Linked DNA regions of Alligator mississippiensis. The protein of the gene in region 2 interacts with the protein of the main gene of each other region in a pairwise test. Links are inferred from orthologs where the notes say so. Each region holds a gene or a part of one and is shown on either strand. Other genes may lie near its edges.

Evidence for each region.
Region 1: the proteins of SH3GLB1 (region 2) and SYNGR3 interact in binary tests that used the Homo sapiens proteins (3 or more experiments, as listed by UniProt). The link is inferred for Alligator mississippiensis from reciprocal best matches to the Homo sapiens genes SH3GLB1 and SYNGR3.
Region 3: the proteins of SH3GLB1 (region 2) and COQ8A interact in binary tests that used the Homo sapiens proteins (3 or more experiments, as listed by UniProt). The link is inferred for Alligator mississippiensis from reciprocal best matches to the Homo sapiens genes SH3GLB1 and COQ8A.

The regions. Positions count from the first base shown.
Region 1 is NC_081836.1:57,372,380-57,379,711, forward strand, and holds the start of SYNGR3 (synaptogyrin-3), read left to right. Parts: upstream 1-4,316; 5' UTR 4,317-4,390; coding exon 4,391-4,489; intron 4,490-7,332. UniProt on the Homo sapiens protein: May play a role in regulated exocytosis. May indirectly regulate the activity of the plasma membrane dopamine transporter SLC6A3 and thereby regulate dopamine transport back from the synaptic cleft into the presynaptic terminal.
Region 2 is NC_081828.1:29,566,709-29,573,626, reverse strand, and holds the start of SH3GLB1 (endophilin-B1), read right to left. Parts: upstream 3,003-6,918; 5' UTR 2,932-3,002; coding exon 2,860-2,931; intron 1-2,859. UniProt on the Homo sapiens protein: May be required for normal outer mitochondrial membrane dynamics. Required for coatomer-mediated retrograde transport in certain cells. May recruit other proteins to membranes with high curvature. May promote membrane fusion.
Region 3 is NC_081824.1:179,104,560-179,112,543, reverse strand, and holds the start of COQ8A (atypical kinase COQ8A, mitochondrial), read left to right. Parts: upstream 1-4,968; 5' UTR 4,969-4,983; coding exon 4,984-5,013; intron 5,014-6,103; coding exon 6,104-6,298; intron 6,299-7,984. UniProt on the Homo sapiens protein: Atypical kinase involved in the biosynthesis of coenzyme Q, also named ubiquinone, an essential lipid-soluble electron transporter for aerobic cellular respiration.

The DNA.
Region 1 (7,332 bases), on a different chromosome or scaffold from region 2:
TGGGAGAAGGTTACAATTTCACTTTGCAGTTGGATTGGGAAGCTGGGCCTGTACCATCAGGGATTCACGTGCATAATATTTTAAGATTTCTATTTGTTTGCTGAAGTTCTAACTAGTCTCGAGGTGAAAGAATCTATCCTGAAAGCGAACGCAGTTTTTGCTCAGGACGCTCCACCACTGATATATTTTCGGTCAAGCAACTGCAAGAGAAGTGAAGAGAAAAATGAATACCACTATGCATAGCCCTCATCGATCTGACAAAAGCCTTTCATACAGTCAACGGAAGAAACTGTTCTGAAGAAGCTATGTTGTCCCCTGAGCTACTGAGCATCATTCACTTATTATATCAAGCGAATAAAGGCAGCTGTAGTTTAAACAAAGAATTAAACACTTTTGACATCAACAACATCACTCTGGAAGATAAATCTCCTGGTGTCGTCAATGTTTTTTGCTACTTATGTTCCACAATCAGCAGGAATCTTGACTTTCAGACCGAACTATCAGAATTGGAAAAGCAGCTAAGAATTTCGGGCTGTTGCAGAAACGTGCATGGAATAAAAGCAACCCATCAGGTAAGGTGAAGATGCGCATCTATGAGATTTGTGTGCTGTCATCCCTGTTTTATGGTTGAGAAACATGGACTAAATATGCTAGGCACATCGAGACTGAACAGCGTCCACATGAGATGTCTGCGTAAGATCCTGAAAATGAAGTGGGAAGACAGAATACCAAACACAGAGGTGCTGGAGCACATAGAACTGACACACTCAGAAACCACCGTGATGGATCAGCTATGTCGGGAGAATGGGAGGAGACCGCATCCCCAAGAATATTTTGTACAGCGAGATTCAAGACGGCTCTAGAAACCAGGGTCTCCCTCTATGGCAGTACCATGATGTATGCAAAAATGATATGAAGTCATTCAACATCAGCATAGAAAGCTGGGAGGAGCATGCAGAATCCCGTCTGATCCAGAGGGAACATCTGGCACTGGGTGCAGCTCAAATTGGAGTGGCTTTGATCCAGAGGATCAAAGCCAAGCGAGAAAGAAGAAAGCAGCCTGCTGTAAACTTGGACTCCAACTCAGACAACACATGGATCTGTGAAACTTGTAACAAGCTGTGTCACTCTCAAATTGGCCTCGTCAGCCACAACCGGATGCATGAGGCACCTGACTAGACCTCTTACATGCACACCACGATCCAGAGGATCGACCGTTGCCTACAGCTGTTCCTTTCCCTTTCCGAATGCTGATGTATATAGCTCTCGGGTGTGCTTTTTGATTGTGAACTTGCTTGTTTGTTCATGGCACAAAGTTAGTGTGATGGTGCCCCGCGGAGGTAAATGGATGTTCTTTATATAACTAGCTAGGTGCACAATGCAGCTTGCCAGGTGCCTGCTTGTTATCAGCCACTTCTGCCACAAACCTTGCTGCCTGTCCACTACCGAGGCACCAGTGTGCCCTGTACCACATGCATTTCTGAACCCCTCAGGTGGTTTTCACGCTGGGTGTTTGTGGGCTCAGTAATTCAGTGGACACCAATTAAATGTTCTGATCTGTTACCACTTCTCATTTGTCGATTAGAAATTAGTGTTGAGCTCTGTGTCTTCCTCTTCAGCTGTGAGTGCACACGTGTATGCAGGGGGGTGTTTTGTGCATGTTGGTTTCACACATCAAACAATACAAGGATTCATTTAAAAAAGCAGTACCAGCATGTGGGAGTTGGGTGGTTAGACAGGGAGGAATAGACTCTAACTTTTCAATGGTGCATTTTAGGCAGATCTCGACTGCAACTGTTCAGAAATGCACCAATTCTTCTCCCCAAGGACTTTGACTGTGGGAGTTGAGGACACTTAGGGCTATCTGGCCAGTGACTAAAAAGCAAAAGGCACCTGAACACACTGCAGATGTCCCTGAGCTGGATCTGCCCCTAGGACTGTGCACACCTCTGCTTTATTGTGCTGAGACGGGATGTTCAGAAGCAGCAAAGTGATTTGGAGAACACGTCTTGCTGAAAGCCAAAGGTATTTGGGCTCCTAAGTCACTTAGATCACACTCTCCCAGACTGCAGTTCACATGGGGTGGCAATCCCTGGCTGTCGACGTCCCCTGAGGAGCATCCCATCGCAGCCCAGTGAGACAGCCTGCAGTAGCGAAGGCACTAGGGGTAGCCTGGTATTCCCTTAATAGCCTTTTATTTTTTTCATAGTAAAATGTGATTTCTACTGAGCTGGTGACATTGAGGGATGAAAGGCTGAATCCTGCTCTTCCTGCTGGGAGTCAGAAATAGATCTAGAGAAATGATGACTCACCTGGAATTGAGAAAAACTGAATGGCATCCTAACGAGCCTTGGCCATTAAATCTCCTGACCGCACTTGTCAGAGACAAGGATGCAGATTTAACCCCGAGGGCTGGGCTGGTTGGGAGGGGGAAGCACAGAGGGCAGTGCTAGGACCATAGCATCCTGCACGGCAGGACTCTCCAAGCTTGTTGCACACATCACCCCCAAGGCGAGGCAGGCCGGTAGCATTATCCCCCTGTCACAGGTGGGGAAACAGCCACAGAGAAGGAAGATGGTTTTCCCCGGGTCAGAAGGGGAGTCAGTGGCAGAGCCAGGAACAGAACCAGGCTCCGACCACCTGTCTGTTCAGGCCTCACGGTTACTTTTCCTGCCTGTTCCTGTCCTGAGCAGAGCAATGATGTCAAAGTTGTCATGGTATCGGTATCTATGAAACCAAAATCATCATCATTGCGTTAGGAAAACTAAATAAGGACATGATCCTGCAGTCGGTGGGGGGGAAACTCTCTTGGAAACCAGGTGGGGTTTCCCTCCATGGGGCTCAGCTTCCTTTTCTTCGTTCCTTCACCAGCCAGCATAAGAGCCAGGGGCAAGAAGCGGCAGATCCCTCCGGCCCCAACAGACCATCTGGGTAGAGCAAGATGGCTTGGCTTTTCCTGCAGGTGGAAAACACGAGCTTCAGCCCAACCAACCCGCCCCTCTTACTCTTCAGGCCGAAGAGCAGGTGGCTGCAAGGCTGGAGGCAGCAAAACCTTTCCCTCCAGGGTGGCCCAGCCAGCATGCTCCCTCCCTCCTAGCTATGAGCCAGTCCCATCCACACCACGGCATCACGGCCACCTTCTGCTCGGCCTCTGCTGCCTGAGATTTTGGGGGAGGTCCCAGGCTCTTGGCTCAGGGCGTGTTGCCCTTTGGGCAGAGGATGGGGAACCCCTCCACCCATCATCAGTGATGGAGGAGCCCATCATCCACCCATCATCATTCCTGCTTGGAGCAGGGGGATGGACTAGACTTCCTGAGGTCCCTACCAGCCCTCATTTTTCTGTTTTTCTATGATTTCCATCTTCTCTCCCCGGCCCCCCAGAAGCCTGCGTGGCTCAGGGCAGCGGGGTGCCTATGGGTGCTGAGCCCCCCGGGGCAGGGCAGAGCCCTCCTGCAGCCCTTTTGGCCCTTGACCCCCCTACACAAGGGGTGCATGGGTGGCCTATGAGTGGCTCTCCAGGGCTGAGCCCTCCTGCAACCACCCTTGGCCTTGCACCCCCATGCACAGAGATTGCATGGGTAGCCTGTGGGTGGCTCTCAGGGCTGAGCCCACCGGGGCAGAGCTGAGCCACCCTTGGCCCTGCACACGCATGCACAAGGGATGCATGGATGGCCTATGGGTGGCTCTTGGGGCTGAGCCCCTGAGGCAGGGCAGAGCCCTCCTGCAGCCCCTTTGGCCCTGCACCCCCATGCACAAGGGGTGCATGGGTGGCCTATGAGTGGCTCTCCAGGGCTGAGCTCTCCTGCAACCACCCTTGGCCCTGCACCCCATGCACAGAGGTTGCATGGGTGGCCTGTGGGTGGCTCTCAGGGCTGAGCCCCTGGGTCAGGGCAGAGCCCTCCTGCACCCCCATGCACAGGGGTGGCATGGATGGCCTATGGGTAGCTCTCCAGAGCTGAGCCCCTGGGGCAGGGCAGGGCAGGGCAGAGCCCCTCTGTAGCCACCCTTGGCCCTGCACCCCCATGCACAAGGGTTGCATGGGTGACCTATGGGTGGCTGTCCGGGCTGAGCCCCCCCGCAGCCCCCTTGGCCCTGCACCCCCATGCACAGGGCGTGCACGGGTGCTGCAATGGGGGCTGGCAAGCGTGCAGCAAACCCCCCTTGGAGGCGCGCGGGGAAGGACAGGTGAGCTTGGGAAGTGAAGCCCCGGGCAGGCAGCGATGCACCTGCAGGTCCCTCCTCCCCCCCCCTCCCGGGATGGTTCCTCCCACCGCCCGGCGCCGCGGGCCAGTGGGCGAGCCCACGCTGCAGCGAGGCGGGGGTGGGCGGGGGAGATGCGGGCTGGAGCCGCACCGGAGTCGCTGCTAGGCGCAGCGCAGCAGCAGCGAAGATGGAAGGAGCCTCCTTCGGAGCCGGCCGGGCAGGGGGGGCCTTCGACCCCCTGGATTTCCTCAAGCAGCCGCAGACCCTGCTGCGGATCGCATCCTGGGTAAGGCAGAGCCCCTGCCCGGGTGCCTGGCATGCACCTCTTTCCCCTAGGGGGTTTGGGAGCCTGGCATGGCGTGGAGGCAGGGGGGCATCTCCCCCCCACCAGCTGTCATTGCTGTCCTGGCACTGGGGATGCTTGCCTTCCTTCCCTGCAGAGGGACAGGACCCCCCCCAGCTCCCCGCTGGAGCCCTGGCTGCACCCACCCGACGGGGCATTTTGCAGGGCTTCATTTGGATGGGTAGAGGCAGGGGGGTGAATCGGTGGCACAAGGCATTTTTTTTCCCCCCTCGTCTGCTTGGCAGGGGGCATGTGTGCACACCAAGCAATGCGAGATCCAGCCCTGCCTGTCCCCCCCCAACACCCGGGGAACGGCAGATGATATCATAGTTTGCTCCTGCTCTGAGATGCTATTGCCCGGCCGGCTGATGACGCTGCCCGAATGGCACGGATCCCCCCCACGTTCCACAGGCGCCGGCGTGGAAAGCCGTGCAAAGAGCCCGGCTTGCACGGATGATGCCAGGAGGTGCACGGGTGTTAGGCTCACGCTCCGCCCTACCTCGCCTCGTTGTGCCCAGGGCTGCAAGGTGGCACGGGCAGCTCTCTGGGAGACTCCAGGCCTCTCTTCAGAGACCTCCACCAAGACCCTTGATTGCAAAAGCTCTGGGAAGGGCCCCCGTTTGCAGCCTCAAGAGGGAGGCCAGGGAGGTAGAGGCTGTTCCTGTTCCTTGTTAGCAAAGGGGAAGAGCTTGCTTGGTCCCCGGGGATGGGGCGAGAACGCTTGCCCCCCTGCTGTGTGGGTGCTGAGGGTCAAGGCTGTGCCTGCAGTGAACCGGTTGCAATAAAGGAAAGGGGCAGATCAACCATATTCTTCCTTCAGAGCCATAAAAGACAGGCTGGCTACTTGTGCCCCTCTTCTAGGCTCCATCCAGCAAGTAGCGAGGGAGGAATGTGCTTCCCTTTAAGCAGGTGAGTAACCCCACACGCTTGTGGGTAAGCACATGCTTAAGTGTCCTGCTGCACTGGAGCCATAATCCATTCCCCAGGGCTTTGAAAAAGCCCCCACATGCATTACCTGGCTAAAATGGAGGCTGGCTGCGGAGGCGAAGCATCAAGGCGTGAAGTAGATCGGCTGTGTTGCATGCGATTGACACAGTAACATGGCAGTGAACTCATCATAGATGCTCCCAATGTGTCACCTGGATCCAGAGCGGAGGAATGGGTTCCTGGGGGAGCGGGAGCGAAACGCAGGACACAGAATTAACAAGCACTTTGGAAAAGGCTCCTGTGCATCTTCTGTGGCAGATTTATCCCGCCGCACCGGCTGGGCGATCTGACAGCACCAAGAACCGGCCCCAAAGGCTCGGAAGGCAGAATCTGATGGCCTGGATGAGCTCTAAGCCTGTAAATTGTCCCTTTTTCTTGAATAACCCCCCTTGCAGTGCTGAAAGGGAAACAGCTCCCAAGCTGGGTAGCATCCAAACCAATCATTTCCATTGACTTCAGTGGGTTTTGGCTCGGACCCCAAATGCCTGCACAAGGCAGCAGTAAAAGGGCTCTGGGCGTGACCCCGGCCCTGCAGCAGCTGGAGCCCCTTTAGGGCCCAGCCTGCAGGCTCAGGGCCACAGCTGGGACAGGTTTAAGTCTTGTTCACCCGGGGGGCACTAGCCTCCGCTTCAAGCAAATGAACCCAAATTGTTTTAAACCTGTGGTGGAAGCCGGTGCAGCGGGGACAGCTCTTGCCCAGCGTAAACAGGGACTCACTCCCTGATGGGCACGTGTCCCCTGAGGTATCTGCTTCATGCATTGGTTGGGCCCGTTCTTCAGACCTGTCATCTTGGCTCTGGGCAGCCATCAGGTGCCAAATGCTTATTGCTTCCTACAGCCTCATCAGCGCAAAGCGTACCTGCGTTTTGTAAAATAGTGCTTAGTGCACCTTGGCAGGCCGGGAGTCCTGAGCATCTTAATCATGGGTGTGTGGCTGAAGGGGAAAATTAGTAAGATAAACAGCTGGTTTTGCCTGCAAGACCCTTTCAAAGTCCTTTTTTCCCTTGCTGCCATACCCCAGATTGCTGGGGTTGGGGCTGTAAAATGCAGCCTCACTGACATGGAATATGATGGTGTTTATTCGCTGCTTGTGTGATGGTAGGAGCTAGAAACCCCTGCTATGGACCAGGATGTGTGCAGTAGGCTCCCTACAGACCCCTAACAAAAAAAACCATGGTCCCTGCTCCAAAAATCAGGCAACCTGAGCGAGAACAGTGGTGTTTAATACCCGTGTGCATGCACAGCGTGCGTATTTTATTAGGACAGCATCGCAGCTAAGATGCCCAAGGAAGACGGGTGAGTTTGTTCTTTGTTTGCAATGATCTGTCTCTTCCCACTCGCTAAAACATGTGTTTGTGGACAATCTGAAGCAGAAAATTAACGTAATTGGAGCACATCTTAGTGACTCAGTCCCTTCCCACTGCCCAGCACCAGTCTCCCCCAGTGTGAAATGGAGGAAATGCTGAAGCTTTGGCTGTCAGAAGCAACAGGAGGTGTTGGGTATTTGGGGGATGTGCATGTGGAAGGGAGAGAACGGTTTTACACGGACCCAGTCCTGTTTGCTTTGCTGGGAGAAGCAGTTTCCCAGAAGTCAGGAGAGGCATTCTTGCATGTAGGCCTGTACAAGATCTGTATAAGGCCCGTTTCAAGCCTGGATTCCCCACCATTGAAGCCAGCGGGAGTTTCATTGTCAGGTCCAGGGTGTGTGTGTGCAAACAGTGCACATGTCAGCAAGGTGACTGGTTTGATCCTTCGGTCTGACGTTCGTGGGCCTTCCCGGGGAACAGCAACTCCCCCAG
Region 2 (6,918 bases):
ATCAGCCACAAGTACAAAGAAATTATCAAACAATAAAAATCACTAACCAACTATAAAAAGAGCCAACCAGCTATAAAGGTAGTGCTTGACAATGTGTGACAACTCTACAGCTGGTTTCAATCCAGCTTTAATATGAATGTGCAGCAGGCTCAGAAACTACTGTACAACACAGCTACCTGCCTGGTAGCTGCAATATCTTTCTCATGTCTTCCCTGGTAACCTCTACGCTTCCAAATGTACCTTTTAAAATTTGCTAAACACTCTGACCTGTTGCTTTTCTCTTGCTGCTGTACTACAGAATATCAAACTCCACTGGCATATAAGAGAAGTGGATAGGCAATCTCTCTGAAGGACCACCAAACTTCAAAGTCCCTCACTCCTGGATTGTAAAACCTCACATCAGGGGACATGAAGAGCATTCTGCAAAGCTCTTTATATCATGCCCCCCTCCCACTCCTCAAAATGAAAAAAAGGAAATATAAAGAATGAAGAACTGCTGGAAACAGGATATTCTGAGTTGCTGCTGGTAGGTTACACTGTGTTGTGTTACTGGAAGTTACATGCAGGGATCCATTCTATTACACTGTTCAGCCAATATCAAGGATAATTGGCACTTTACCATTTTACACAAATCCTAATAATGAATAAAGTAATGTAAAACAATTTGTCATTTAATTCTTCATTCTAGTCAGCTTGGGAAGTAGAACAAGATAGGCTTGCTTTCACTTTCTCTAGCTGATTCTGCTTCTCATGTATAATTTACTGGAGTGTTTAGGGTACAAAAAAATTAGATTAAGTCATGAAAACATTTCCAGTTCCATTATGTTCTTGGAAGTCTTACAGGGATAAATTTTACCCTCTGATGTAGCTACTCTGATGCAAGTCAACAAGGTAGATTAGAGGAAGTTCATGGGTGTGAGTCATCGCTCACATGGTTTACCTGAGTAGAGAGGTAGTTAAGTCACGTTAGTCTGAAGTCAAGCAAAAGGCAGAGCAGGGCAGCATTTTAAGTGTTAACCAGTTCAGAGAGAACTTTCATAGGCAATGATCCACTCTGTCACGTGCTATGGAGCGTACTGTCTATGAAACCATATACCTCTGAACCAGTTAGCCTTTAAAGTGCTACCTTGTGGTAACATAACTAGGGCAGGGTCAGCAGGGCCCCCAACCCTGAGTGCTGACTAAAAGGAAGTACCAGTAATCATCCTCCAGTCCACAAAAGGCAGGCTTTGCCATGGTAGGAACAGCCCTGCCTGGCTACAGCAGCTGGGCAGCACTCTGTTGGCCTTGAACAAAGTATCTGGAGGGCAGGGGGGGTGAGTGGAGAGAGCAGAAAGTGGCTTCCCTCCCACCAGTGTGGAGTCTGTGTCACGGCAAGCACAGCCACGTGCCCAACACTCAAGGACTGGGGAAAAGGAGTGAGCAGGGCACCAGGGGAGGCTCTCAGGGAGCCCAGCCACAGGGCTGCTGCTGCTGGAGCAGAGCTGACTGCCCAAACAAGTAAGCTTTCCCTTCCTCTCATCCCTGCACTCCCCACTGATGGTGGTCAGCAAACACTGCCCCCGCCCCATGCTCAATGAGCTTCCTATGATCTCTGCTGCCTGCCCTGCCTTCTCAAGCTGTTTTACCAGAGCAGTAGGCTGCACCAAATCTGTACTAGGTTTGAGTGATACACAAAATAAACCATAAAGATGACAAGATTCACATCAAAGACTCTTAGAATAAAGGGCAAACTGTATCTGCTGTACTCCCCTTTCAATGAGGAGAAAGAGAAATAACTCGAGGTAACTAAGTGGGGAAAGGAGGATTCAAGGAGTCAGCAAAGCATAAAGCCAGCACCTAGACCTGAAAGGGAAGAGGAAAGAAAACAAAGTGTGCCAGAAGGAGAGATCCAACCAAGAAAGTTACCATTACAAGGATCTTACGGCAAGTAACTGTTTCTGTACGTTAGCAATACGCATCCGATGGCGCTGGCCCTTCTGCTCCATTCCTCTCACCTCTGCGAGCCATCCCGCTGGCTCACGTGTTCCCTTGAACGCAAAGATGTAGGAGTGCTGCATTGTCGCCAGGCTTGTAGCCGGGCTCGGACTAAACCCTCGTTTTGTTTTGTCTTGCATTAAAAACTATAAACAGCCCACAAGCCTGACTGGGACCGCGACCCATCAAGAACATTTTGGCAACCCCCAGGCAAGCTCCAGCTCACTTCTTGACACTCAGGGCCCGCAGCGAGTCTTTTCCACGCCCGGCTCTGTAATGCAAGAGGATGATTGCCCAAGGCAGCAGCTACAGAACCGGGATACGGTTGCCGCAGCCTTCGTGTTAAGAAAGAGAAAATGTTTTAGAAACTCTGAAGCGCCCAGACAAGTTTTCCTTTCCAAGTTGCATCCACAATTACCAGCCTGATGCTCATTAAAGAGAACAGGATTGCTGGGGTGGGGGGCGGGGGGCATGCGTGTGTCTGTGCGGGCACTTCCTGGTGTGCCCTGGCAGCAGCTGGAAATTTTCACCCCAGGGAGCAGGATCTAGATCCATGTCAGGGGCTGCCGGACTGCTCCTTCCTCTCTCCGGGAAGGGCCAAGCAGACAGCCCGGGCCTTTCTGCTGAGGCTGCAACGAGATCCGCCCATTTCCTGACGCCCGAGGACGAGCCCCAGACGGCTGCCCCTTGCTGCCGCCCGTCCCCGGGCCGAAGCCCCCCGTGGTGCTGAGGACAGCGCTGGGCGCGGTCCCCGCCCCTGCCGCCCCTCCGCGCCGGGCGGACCCGCGGGGCCTGGAGCTGCCGCCGGGCCCCGGGCGCAGCACAGCGGAGGCCGCAGGCGCCGGGCGCGGACGGGGAGGGGAGCGGCACGGCCCGCCGTACCTGCACGGCGCGGCTGAGGAAGGTGCCCGCGTCGGCCGCCAGCTTCTTCACGTTGAAGTCCATGATGCTCATGCCCGGGGGGGCCGCGTCACCCGCACACCCGCTGCCCCGGCCCCGGCCGGCGCCCCCGAGCCCCGCGCTGATTGGGCCGCGGCCGTGACGTCACGCGCGGGGCCGGGCCCAACCGTCTCCCTGCGCCGCAATGGCAGCCGGGCCCCGCCCCGCCCCGCCCCGCCGCGCAGTGAAAGCCGCTGCGTCCCGGCGCACGTGGGTCCCTGCCCTCTGGAGCTCGCTGCTGACGGGCGGGGACCCTGCACTGTCGCCTGCGCCGCTCCCGCGCCCTTTCCGTAGTGTCCGAGGGGCGGGTTTGCTCGGGGACGTTGCGGCAGCCACCGCGCGTTTGCGTGTCGCGCTTCAGGCCTGGCTCCGGCTGCCCCGCAGACAGAAACACCCGCCTTTGCACAGGAAGAGGAAGCGGCCAGCAACCAGCTCGGCCCGCGGATGCCTTGTTGACATCCTTTTGTGTAGCGGGATTCCTGGAAGAATGGAAAAGGAAAACGTAGTGGGAGGTGGCCATTGTGCACATAATACTAAGAAGGAGAACATGGAAAGCAATTGTCCAGTTTCTCTCTGCTTCAGGGTAGTTTGCTTTTTTTCCACCTTTCTTTTTATCTCGTTTATATCTCTTCAGCGGCCAGGTGCTTCCTTTAAACCACCTGGTTTGTTGTCTCCATTCGTTGGAACCAGTTTTAGTCGAGGAGTTGTTCGGTGATTGTTTTTCCCCCTGAGCGTTGGCAGAAGCAGCTCCTGGCTAGAAGCAGCTTTCTCCTCCTACAGCTGGCACTGTGGGACGTTTGGAAAGTCCCTGTGGGTAAAATTTTCAGATTTTGATACATAAATAAGCACAGATGTATAACTGCAGGTACTGAGCCCAAGCAGCTCGTATGGGCTAGGTTCATAAAGGAACAAGGCCAGGACCAAGATCCATCAAAGAACAGAGGCAGCACAATGCGAGTGTGGCAATACTTACTTACTTTTAGATGCCTGGTGCCCCGCGATAGTTCACAGACTTGGGTTGGGACTCTCGGCGCTCTAGGGGCAATGCGGTGTCTCGGGGCAGGGTTCACAGCAACCGGGAGTCTGACTGGGGAGGGAATAGGAAATGCTGAGGACAGGCGTGTACCTGGAGTCCCACCTCTCTTTGGGACTTGGGCCTTTTATTTACCTGTAGAGACAGGTGTAGTGACACTCACCGGATGTTCCTTTTGCCAGTGCTGGATTATGACATGTTGAGGCCCTCAACTAAAACTAATCCACGAAATCCACAGAAATGGATTTTCGTGAAATTTTAAGATGAATTATTATTTCTGCACAAATTCATGAACTCAATATGAATAATAACTGTAGAGCCATATATATATATATATATATTTTTTTTTTTTTTTTGTCGCAGAATGAAAATGTCCATATTTAGGGAGTTATTTTCCCATATCTCCTTTATCTCCTTTATTTATCAACTGATTATTATAAAACTTAATAATGAGTCAGGTTTTTTTACTTATTTAGAGGCCCCTCATATTGCGAGGCCCTAAGCTGTAGCTTAAGCCTAAATCTGGCACTGTAGGCATTTCTTTCAAAAACTGAGCAGGGGTCACTCTTGTCTTTCATAATATAGCAAGAGGAAAAGGTGGCGCTCCCCTTTTATATCCAGTAGTTCAATGGATGGAGCACTTGCACAGGAAGAGGGAGACCTACCTTCTATTCCTGCCCTTTCCTGAGAGGACTCAAAACCAAGTTGTGGACACTGGTGTGGCGTAGGTGTAAGCTATACCTACTTAACTCTGTCAAGATTCAGGGTATGTCTACCTTGGCCCAGTGCAGTGCTGTGTAACCTGAGTACCTGAGCTAATCTGATTTGTAGCTACCATGGGGCAACACCCCACTCAAACTGCTTTCTAGGGTGTGGCTGGTGATTGTCTTGTCTTTGTCAGTTTGTTGAGAAGCAGAGGAGGTATGAGGCACGTGAGCCACTGGAAGAATTGTTTTCAAGTGTAAATATCTCATTTAATGTCAACTAAAGTAATGGAAGGTTCAATCATCCTCCCCATTGACTTTACAGGGTTTGGGACCATGGCCGTAATGAGGAACACTTATGGAATAATATATATAAATATTTATACTATAAATATATTGCAGCTAGAAGGCTGCAAGCAGCTGCACTGGGATCTGCAGCTCTCCAGCCCAGCTTGTTGCTGGCAGCAGATGAATGCACACCTCAGGGCAGACAGTGGGGAAGGGGCTAGAGCTGCACTGCCACCAGAAGGATCCAGGCCCCTTGTGGCTCCACCACCACGTGCCCCAAAGGCTGGCCTGCCAAGCAAAATGTCTTCATGTGCCACGCTCTGGCATGCATGCTGGAGGTTACCACCCCCTGTTTTATAACTTAAATACATATATATGAACCATCTGCTGACTCTGTGCCAGAGGAATGGGTATGAATTGAAAGGCAGTGCACCTTGGGAATCAGGGCTTTCACAAAATCTATCAGAAATGTAAAAAGCAGCATGCAAAGTTCCTGCAGTGTCTGTAATGAGTGACACTGCAGGGATTTCATTGATTATATTTTTATTGAGATTTTAGTACATGTTCCATAGCCCCTACCTCCTAGCCACGGTTACAAAATATCTGTCAACATCAGTCAATGGTTACACAAAAAGATTCCTATTAAGAACTTACTGATGTTTCTAAGGTAGTTTGCCAGCTGGAACTAGGGAGAGCCAGTTCTGTGGAACTAGTGTGTGGACCAGAGCTGGAGAAATGCTGTGCATAAAAACCTTAGGATAAATGTGATTGAAAACTGATTAATTCCAGAATGACATGAATAGAATGAACACTGATCTAATATATTTTACATTCTTCCTAGTTTGATAACCCAAGGTGATTTTACTGGAATGGATAAAGGAGATGTGTTTTTGTGTATACGTATATGGGGCTACACTCACATTTGCACCAAAATGACCAGCCAAGTCCAACTTGGTGATAACTTGGACAGGAATGGTAAAAGGAATATTGCCATCTCCTCTCTGAGAAGTTTTTTTTCTGAATGAGCTGTGCATGCTCAGGACTCCATGAAAATTTGAGGGCAGATTGGATGAAGGCAGGAAACAGCTGTTTTCCATGGCTCACGTCCATCTAGAAAACTCCCACTGGTTCCACACTGCAACTGGTACTCTGCTTTCTGTAGTACTTGAACAGGAGCTGTACTGACAGAAGGAAAGAGAAGAGAAGGGCAATGTGAAATAACTGGGAAATGTAGACACCAGTCCTGAATTTGCAGAGTTGAAATGAGCACACAAATATTGTTATATGTCCTATCCTTTCACTTTTTTCTTATTTTTGTCTATGGCCCTTAGAATTTAGACTGTTGGTGCTTTGGGTCAGCTTCTGTCTTTATTCCAGATATCTATCGCTGTGCAGGGCTTTTGAAAAACAATTCACATCAATTATAATGGTGACAGTGATTTAACGGGTCTCTTCTATCTCTTCTTTGGTATTATAATATAATGACACAAATTAAAACTCATAAATGATGCAAAAAAGAGTAGAGTCACTTGGCAAATCCAATATCAAAGTCTGTATGTTAATATACTGTTTGATGTATGCCTTGATTGTGGGACCAGCTCCACTGGGATTCACTTGTGCCCACATGGAGCCCTGCTGAAATAAGAGAGGCTCTGACTGGGCCCATGAGTCTTTTGTACAGAGTCATTCCAGGCATCATAGGCAATAGGAATATTCAAAGAACAATTGGCATAAAGATTAAAACAAATCAACATAAAGCCCACTGTAAAGTAAAATGATTCTCAGCCTAACTGTAAAGTATGGGAGTGAGTTGTGTGAGGAAAACCAATTAGTAATAAAGTTGTAATAAAAATAAAATTAAGTACTGACATCCATTTAAAGCATCTGAAGGCAAAAAGGAGTAAATTGAAAATCTGAGAATTCTGGGGGAAAAAATACTTGCATTTAAAAAATAATGTCAAGACTAGAAAACTGAAA
Region 3 (7,984 bases), on a different chromosome or scaffold from region 2:
GAGGAGAGGAAAAGTAATCTTCCCAGTTTTGGCCTCCTTTTTCTCCCGGTTATTTTCATTCTCTTCCATGCCTTCCTGTCCATTCCTTGATAGTCTCTTGACTTCCACTTTCCATATCCCTCTCAGAGTAACTGAGTTTTGCGTGTCCTTTTGTCCATGAGCTCTTCAAAATTGGGTGCTTCGCTTTTTTCCTTTTTTTTTTTTCTTTTTTTTCCCCTACACAGGAAATCTACCTTCCTGGGGAGCCTAACGTTACTGAAAATGAATGTTTATTCTCCTGGTTTACAACTTCCTCTTGGAAGAGGTCTGTAACCAGGCACCATGTAAGCTTGTTTTTTTCCTTTGCTCTACTTGATGCTTGGATACTGACCAACATGGGGCATGCAGAGCATTAAGAATAAGAGGGGAGCTAACAGTAATGTGCAGTAGAATTCAGGATTGTGACTCTTAAAATCCTACTTCTATCGACCTTTTATTTGTGGTGATCTCCTTGCCATTGACAATTTCACACCCTTGTGGAGCTGAGGAGTGCTCAGTTTTTGAGTTGGTGTACAAGCTCCTTAAGGCACGACCTGTGTCCAGTGTGGCTTTATAAAATTCTAGGCATACCTACAGTACTGTCACAATATACAGTCAAACAACAAGCACCTCTCCAGTTTAACATTAGAACTGTTTCTTTTATATAGTCTACTACTTGATGTTTCTTATTTTAGTAACATCCCACTGTCATGGAGCCTTCTTGCAAAGAATCTTGCTTCATAGTGGACCCCAGGAGTCCATTTGGTGCTTGTGTCCAACATGATAGACAAAAATGTTTGCATAGAAAATGGATATACGCCCTGCTGTGCTATGCCTCCCCACATGCTAATAAAGGCAGACTTACATGGCCACCTTGGCTGAGCTTGTAACTGCCAGGTAGATGGCCCACTTCCTAAGCAGAGGTGCTGAAAGGCAGTCTCCTGGGTCTCATCCCTGAGCATTTTGAATGAACTTACTATAGGCAAAGTCTTGTAGGTGGTGAAAGGGTTAAAACATTGTTGGCTGAAATGGATGCAATCTCATGGAAGTCAACAGAATTTTGTTAGCAGTGAGTTTGACTCAATATCTGCTTTATAGCTAAAACCAACAAATGGGAACTGGTCATATTTGCTCATTGTTATATTTAGCAGTTGAGCGTTGAGTGCATATTGAGCAATATGTTTTCCATTTGTGGCTTTTTTAGCTTCTCAACTTGTTTTGTTTTTGTTGCAAGACATCAATTCTTAAGCATCTTTTCAGCTATATGACTTCTGTGGTCTGTTGGCAAAATCAGCTCCTGAACTCCTGTTTGAGTGAAAGGAAGAGTTTGGTTTTAATATTTAATTTTTTAGATGGGCTAGGTGTTAGTATGGACCCATTTAATTTTCCTTGAATACATTACTCTTGCTCCAGTAGTTTCAACTCCATCTCCCAGTGCTCCAGATAGTGAAAGAGGAGCTTATGCATTTAAACTGTGGTCCATGCCTGTGTTATTGAACTCTTAGTTACTAATACCCTAACATTCATAATAGTGTGTTCTTATGCTTTAATATTTCAGCTTGGACAATAATGCTGTGCTGGTTAATATCTTTTTTTTCCAGTCCAGACAACAATCCTGTAGATTAGGCATTGGCAACCTATGGCCCCCTCATGGAGCCATTTGATCTGACCCATGGTTGTGAGGTGTCAGGAGCTGAATTGAACCAGTTTGGGTCAGATGCAGGTGGGCATGTGAAGGGTGAGTGCTAGGACTGCCACCTTTCTCAGTGGCTGCACAAAAGTGCCCAGCGCCACTGCTTTTACCTGAGGCATTATGGGAAGTGGAGGGTGTCTGTACCTAGCACTTCACTGGTGGGGGGGTGGACTTTGACACTTCCTGTGCCACTGTGCCTGTAGCGCTGGTACGTTGTTGACCTCTGTGCCCCTAATGGTATAAGTTATGCTGTAGTTAGAGGTTGCCATGTATCCATTATAACAGTAATAGTATAATAGTAAATGGCTGTATAGTATAATAGTAAATAGAGAGACTGATTCATTTTCTCAGCCCTTGATCATTCCGTTTGTTCAACAAATACATCAGTAACCAAGAATTTTTGCCCTTGATTTACAAGAACTGTCAGGCTGTCCTGGAATTCACCTCTCTTATACCAAGGTTAGCCATCCTGCTCCTGTGTGACTGGTATGTAGAGCTTCTCTTCAAGAAAAGTTGTTTTTCCACAGAAGGCAACTGGATCTAGTCATTTGTAGTTTGTGGATGGCATAATACTATATGTTCTATCGACTGGGTTTACAGCCCTTGGACTGTGCTAATGTTCATGACTTGTTCTGTGCTTGTGCGTGTGTGCATGCATGCACACGTGCATGTTGACAAAATGTCTGAAAATGAAATAATGACTTTGCATGGTTATCCAGGAAATAGTCTCATGGTGACTTGTGGAGACTGCAGCCAGAACTGTAAATGACTCATTGATGCTATTTCTTCAGGCTGTCCTGGAACTCAGTTGTTTTATCCCAAGGCAAGCTGTGCTTTTCCTGTGTAATTGGCACATAACCCTTCTTGTAGAGAAGCCCTAAGTTTTTTCTCAGAAGACAACTGGATCCAGTCACTTATAGACTGGATGGCATAGTGTTGTATGTGCCATTGACTGGGTTTACAGCACTTGGTCTGTGCTGATGTTCATGACTTGTTCTGTGCTTGTGTGTGAGTGCAGGTTGACAGAACATGCTCTAAAAATGAAATGATGACTTTGCACAGTTATCCAGGAAGTAGTCTGAGTAACCTGTAGAGACTGCAGCCAGAACTGAATGACTCATTGATGACTATATTCTTCCAGACCAGAGAGAATTTTCCATGGGTTGAGTTGTGCCTTAGATGGCATCCCTTGTTCTGTATTGAAGGGCTTGGAGGAGTACATGTATGAGTGAGCCAGCCCTGGCAATGTGACCTTTTTGGGGTCCTGAAAATTCTGCTGTAGAGAACACTAGTTTTGCCACTGTTTGTAGTAGAGGAGCTGGAGGTATAAGCAAAATATGTGGACACAATAGTTTCCTCCCAGTAGTTGCAAATCTGCTTGGCACAGTGCGCTCTGGGTGCAGTGGATGTCCTATTTACACTGCACTCATTGATCTCCTGTGCTGCCAAGCAGTTATGCTTGGAAGAATTAATTTTTATCATCTTTTTCTAGTAATAGTGCCTTGGGACCATTGTGCTGAGTGCCTTTTGAAAGCCTTGTTCTGAGTTTATTCTTCTAAAGCAGTGCTTCTCAAACTTTTTAGACTTGAGGCACTCATCATTTGACTTGAGAGATCTCCATAATTTGTGAATTGAGCAGCATGCCATTAATAAATAAATTAGTTTTTTAACAGCGCTTACCTAATTGCAGAAGGCCTGAGCATTGGAAGCAGGGTAGTAGCCAGGCAGGTAGGAGCCTGGGTCTGCCCTTATCTTCTCCCACTTGCTTATTTTGTTGCACCTTGTAGCACCCTTTGAAAGCAGCAATCTGGTTGAGAATCACTCTTCTAAAGTAACCATTCTGTTACCACATGTCCTCCATATCAAGTTTCTTTGTGTTTGAATGTGCTGAAATTACATTAATGGTTTGTTTCAAACAGGGCGCTTTACCTTTCAGCCTGGGCACATGGAGCAACATTAATTGCATAATACTCTAGTGCAGCGTACTCAACTCCCAGCCAGCGGACCAGAACTGACCCCTTGTGCCATATCACCCTGCCTGCAGGCTCCTTACAGGTCCTAAAATTTGCAGTGGGGAACAGTGGCATTACTCCCCTGCTGCTAAATTTCCAGACCCCTGGGGAGCCCTGTGGGCTGGATAGTATGGCCCTGTGTGCTAAATTTTGGTGTGCAGGGCAGGGCCAGGACTGGGTGGAGGCAGAATGGGGCACTGGGACTTGTTCCCAATGCACAGGGCCTTATCCCTGCATGCGGGGGCAGTGCAGCATCCCAGGACACAATCTCAGCATGCAGGGCTCTCAGTCTCATCAGTGGGGGACTGCAGGGCCTGATCCTGGCATGCAGTGGCAGCTTGGGGGCTGCCACTGTGTGGGTGTGCTCACATGAGGGGCACAATCCAATCCATCCCTGCACCACTTATCTAGCCGACGGGGCCAAACAGTTGAGCACTACTTTCCTTGTGGGATGTTAAGCTTAGTGAGTTTATATATTTGGAAACCCCTAAAATTACAATCAGTAGGATTTGGGAAAACCTGGCCTACACCAGGTTGAGTGCAAATCCTGTCCATGAGAGAACGCTGAGGGGGCCATTGGTCCTACTCCAGAAAGGGAGGAAAGGAGCAGATTGGCAGGGCCAACAGATACTTATGCAGCACCAGAAAGGGAAGTACAGAGTTGGAAAGAAGGACAGAGTAATGAACACATCTCCTTTAAGCAAAGGGAAGAACATTTTGTGGCCTATATGTAGAACAGGAGCTGGGAGTCTAGGGACCTTCTGCATGCCCAGGTTTGCAGCAGCTGCAGAGCCTTGAAAGCAATAAGGGGTTCCAGATATTACCTGGGGGACATCCCAGAAGAGACTCCTTTCTGGAAGAGTGGTAGGGTTGCCAACCCAGAACTTATTTTTTAAACTTTTTATGCTTTACATAATATAACCCTTCTGCCAGGCCCTGGACAAGGGTTTAACTCCAACCATATTTAGGGTCAAATTTAGGGTTTAACTCCAACCATAGTGAAAAAGTATGGTTGTCAGTAAAATGTTTGTAGGTATATTAAAAAAAAAAAAATAAAAAAATCCTGGTTTGACAACCCTGCTTGACCTGCAGCTATAGTTTTACACCATGCTGTCCCCACCCCAGGGACCTCTTGTTTTATCCCCACACCCTGATGCCCCTGATTATACCCTGTCCCCCAACCCTTCCTCAACCAATCCCCCAGCCTTATTTCTGCTGGCCATGCCTTCCCATCCTATCGTGGACACCCAAAGAAGGACTATGCTCTGCCTTCCTGCAGCAGTGTTACAGGTAGGGTCATAGCACAAGCATGTAGCTGGGGAAGGTGGGTGGTGAGGGGCCATGAAGTGCTGGAGGCTTCCTGCAGCATGCTGCACTCCAGCTCAGACATCAGGTGTTTTGCTCTTCAACACTTGCCTCTGATGAGGAATCTTCATTCAAGCTCTGATTGCTTAGTGCTTTTATGGACATCTGAGGTTTTTCTTACCAACTTCATGGACATGTGGTTATTATGGACAGACCATAAAGAACAGGCCTAAATTTATGGATGGTTGGCAACTCTGGGGAGGGGTGAGCCTAGAACTAGCCAAGGGTCTGAACAAATTAGTGATCTAATGGGGTGGAGGACTTAGTACAGAGCACCTGATATGCAGCAGCTGTCTGTCTGTCTGGGCCTGCTAAATTGTTATGTCTTAGCCCCTAATGAAAATAGAGCTAATTTACAGTAGACACATGGACAGTTACTGTGGAGCATCTGATGCATAGTAAGTTCATGCCCCCGTCAACTCTCTGTACTTTGTTCATTTGCCCATACCCTGAATGACGAGTACATGTGGCAGAAAGTATCAAGGGTGGTATGTATTTGAGGACAGAAGTAACTAACTGGTGGGCCTTGGTAGAGTTTACGTCTTGCTTTGGTAGGGAAGGTATGGCCTAGTGAACTCAGTCAGCTTGACTCCTGGAAGGAGTGGGTGTGGCAGCTGCAGTATGCTTCACTCACACTAGCAGACTCTTTTCTTGGGCAAACAGGTCTATCGGAGGTGTTTCAGATCTTGATAAACATTGATGCTTATGAACTCATAGAAGTCAGGGAAGGAATGAGATATATATGCCCAGGAGATTTACCCACCTCTGCTTCTCCTAAAGCTATTGTATATAAATCTGAGGGTGTGGGGGATCCCAGTGTCATCCTTCATTGCACACTTATAAAATGTGACCATCATCTTGTGGGGTTCAGCTTGGCCAGCATCCTTTTGGAGCTCTGAGCCAAAGGGCCTTCCTAAGGGAGCAGCTGCCTAGAGGGGCTGGAAAGCATTGGGGCTGTGCCATTGGAAATCTTTCCCTAGCTGCTGTATTTCATGACTCTGATTCTGTCTTTCAGCACGTACAGGGGTTAGTCATGGCGGGCGACATCTTCATGCTGATGAGAGGCCTGGCTAAGCTGAGCAAGGCAGTCGTAGAAACCCAAGCAGGACAGCTTCGGCAAGTTTTTCTTGGTGGTGATGCAGCTGCAATTGCAAGGACGTTTCAGGCCACTGCTGAAGAGCAGTTTAGTGCTGCCATGGGGAAAATGCAGGTAAGGAAACCTTCTTGGGTGTGTCACTCCCTGTAGGTAGTTGGCTTCTTTCCTTTATTGACAGTGTATGTGAAAGAAATCTTTGTCTAGCAGGTGATGTGCACAGAGGGGATTTACTAGGCATGCAACAAATTCTGCCAGCACTGTATCAAATGAGTTTTTGATGTTACCTCAGGGTAAATTCACACGGTAACTCCAAGGGTGTTGAAGGACTTTATCTTAAATCAACAATATCCAAATAGCAGTTTTGCATTTTTTTTGGTTTTTGTGTTGGGGCTCCACCTTTTAAACTTTTTTTTCTCTGGCTCATTAAAATCTGACACTTTTGAATGATTTGTTCACAATCCAGCTGGAGTGTTGGGTGCTTGTTTGCGCAATTGAGTAAATGCGGTGGGCACCAAAGTGCCTGATTCTGTTCACAGAGGAGGGCTGAAAATGGATGAATGCTTTGAAAGCAGTCCTGCTACAAGCTGGCAAGGTATTGAGCTTGGCGTGTCCCAAGTGGGAAGATGCGACTGGGAGGCCTGCCATTAGACCTGCCAGTCTGAGCAGCAAATATTTGGATGCTCTTTAATTTTCCACCTGAGTGGTCCATTAAATGGGGCCAAGCACTTCGGTCATAATGGACCTGTTCTTTCATAAGGGTTACACACTGGCATGAAAAAGGGGAAAAAACTGAAGATCATCTAGTCCAGTGGATAAATATCCAGTCATAATTTTTTTTTGTCCCCTCTTAGAGCTGTTTTCTGAACTCTTTGTATTGTGGTGCAAAGGAGCCCCTGTCATGGACCAGAGCCCTTTTGTGTGTGGTGCCATGCAAATAACAGAAATGGAAGATCATGCCCTGAAGTCTGCAGATGTTTCATTAGCTCAGGAGCTGGCAACCTTTTTCAAGCCACATGTCAGAACAGCCATGCCCCATTCTGGTGCAGGCTGGAGAGCTTTGTGGGGGAGGGCAGGGTGTTCTTTCCCTGCATCTCCGTTGGAGCCATGCAGCTGGGACCTGTGTCCGTGCCACCACTGCTGCTCCCTGGCTGCAGTGTAAGTGCAGCTTCTAGTTGACGGAGAGCTGTGTTGCCACCAGGCAGCTGGAAGTTGCTTTCATGCTGTTTCTGCTTTTTCCTGGCCCAGTCTACTCTGCTCCCAATCTATGCTGCAAGAGGCATATGTGGGAATGAAAAAAATGTTCCCTGCAATGCAAATTAGTGGTGCGGGGGCAAAATTAGACCCCATATCCAAGGGTCGAAAAAATCCATAGTGGGGAAAAAAGCAGGGCAGGGCATGGTCCTGGACCACGCCCTGAGGCAACCAGAGGCTAGGTCTTCCACAGAGATGCTCTGGTAGCTGCCAGAATGTCTCTATGGTTGGCCCTTGACCTGGTGCTGAAGCCCTGCCTGTGCAGAGCAGGCAGCATGCCAGCCACGGGGAGCTGGACTGGGGTAGGGAGTTGGGAGGGAGGGGGGATCCAGCCCACTCCCCCAGCCCCCACAATCCCTGCCCTACCCAGCCCCATCCCCTGCCTGCCCCCCGAGCCCCCCTATCAGTGCTCTGCCCAGCCCAGCCCAGCCCAGCCCTGTCCCCTTCCCCCCCCCCCCCCCCCCCCCCCCCCCCCCCCGCCAATTGCTGCCCCTCTGGGCCCCAGCATCCCGGCAATTTAAAACAAAAACCCCGCACTCACTGGCAGTA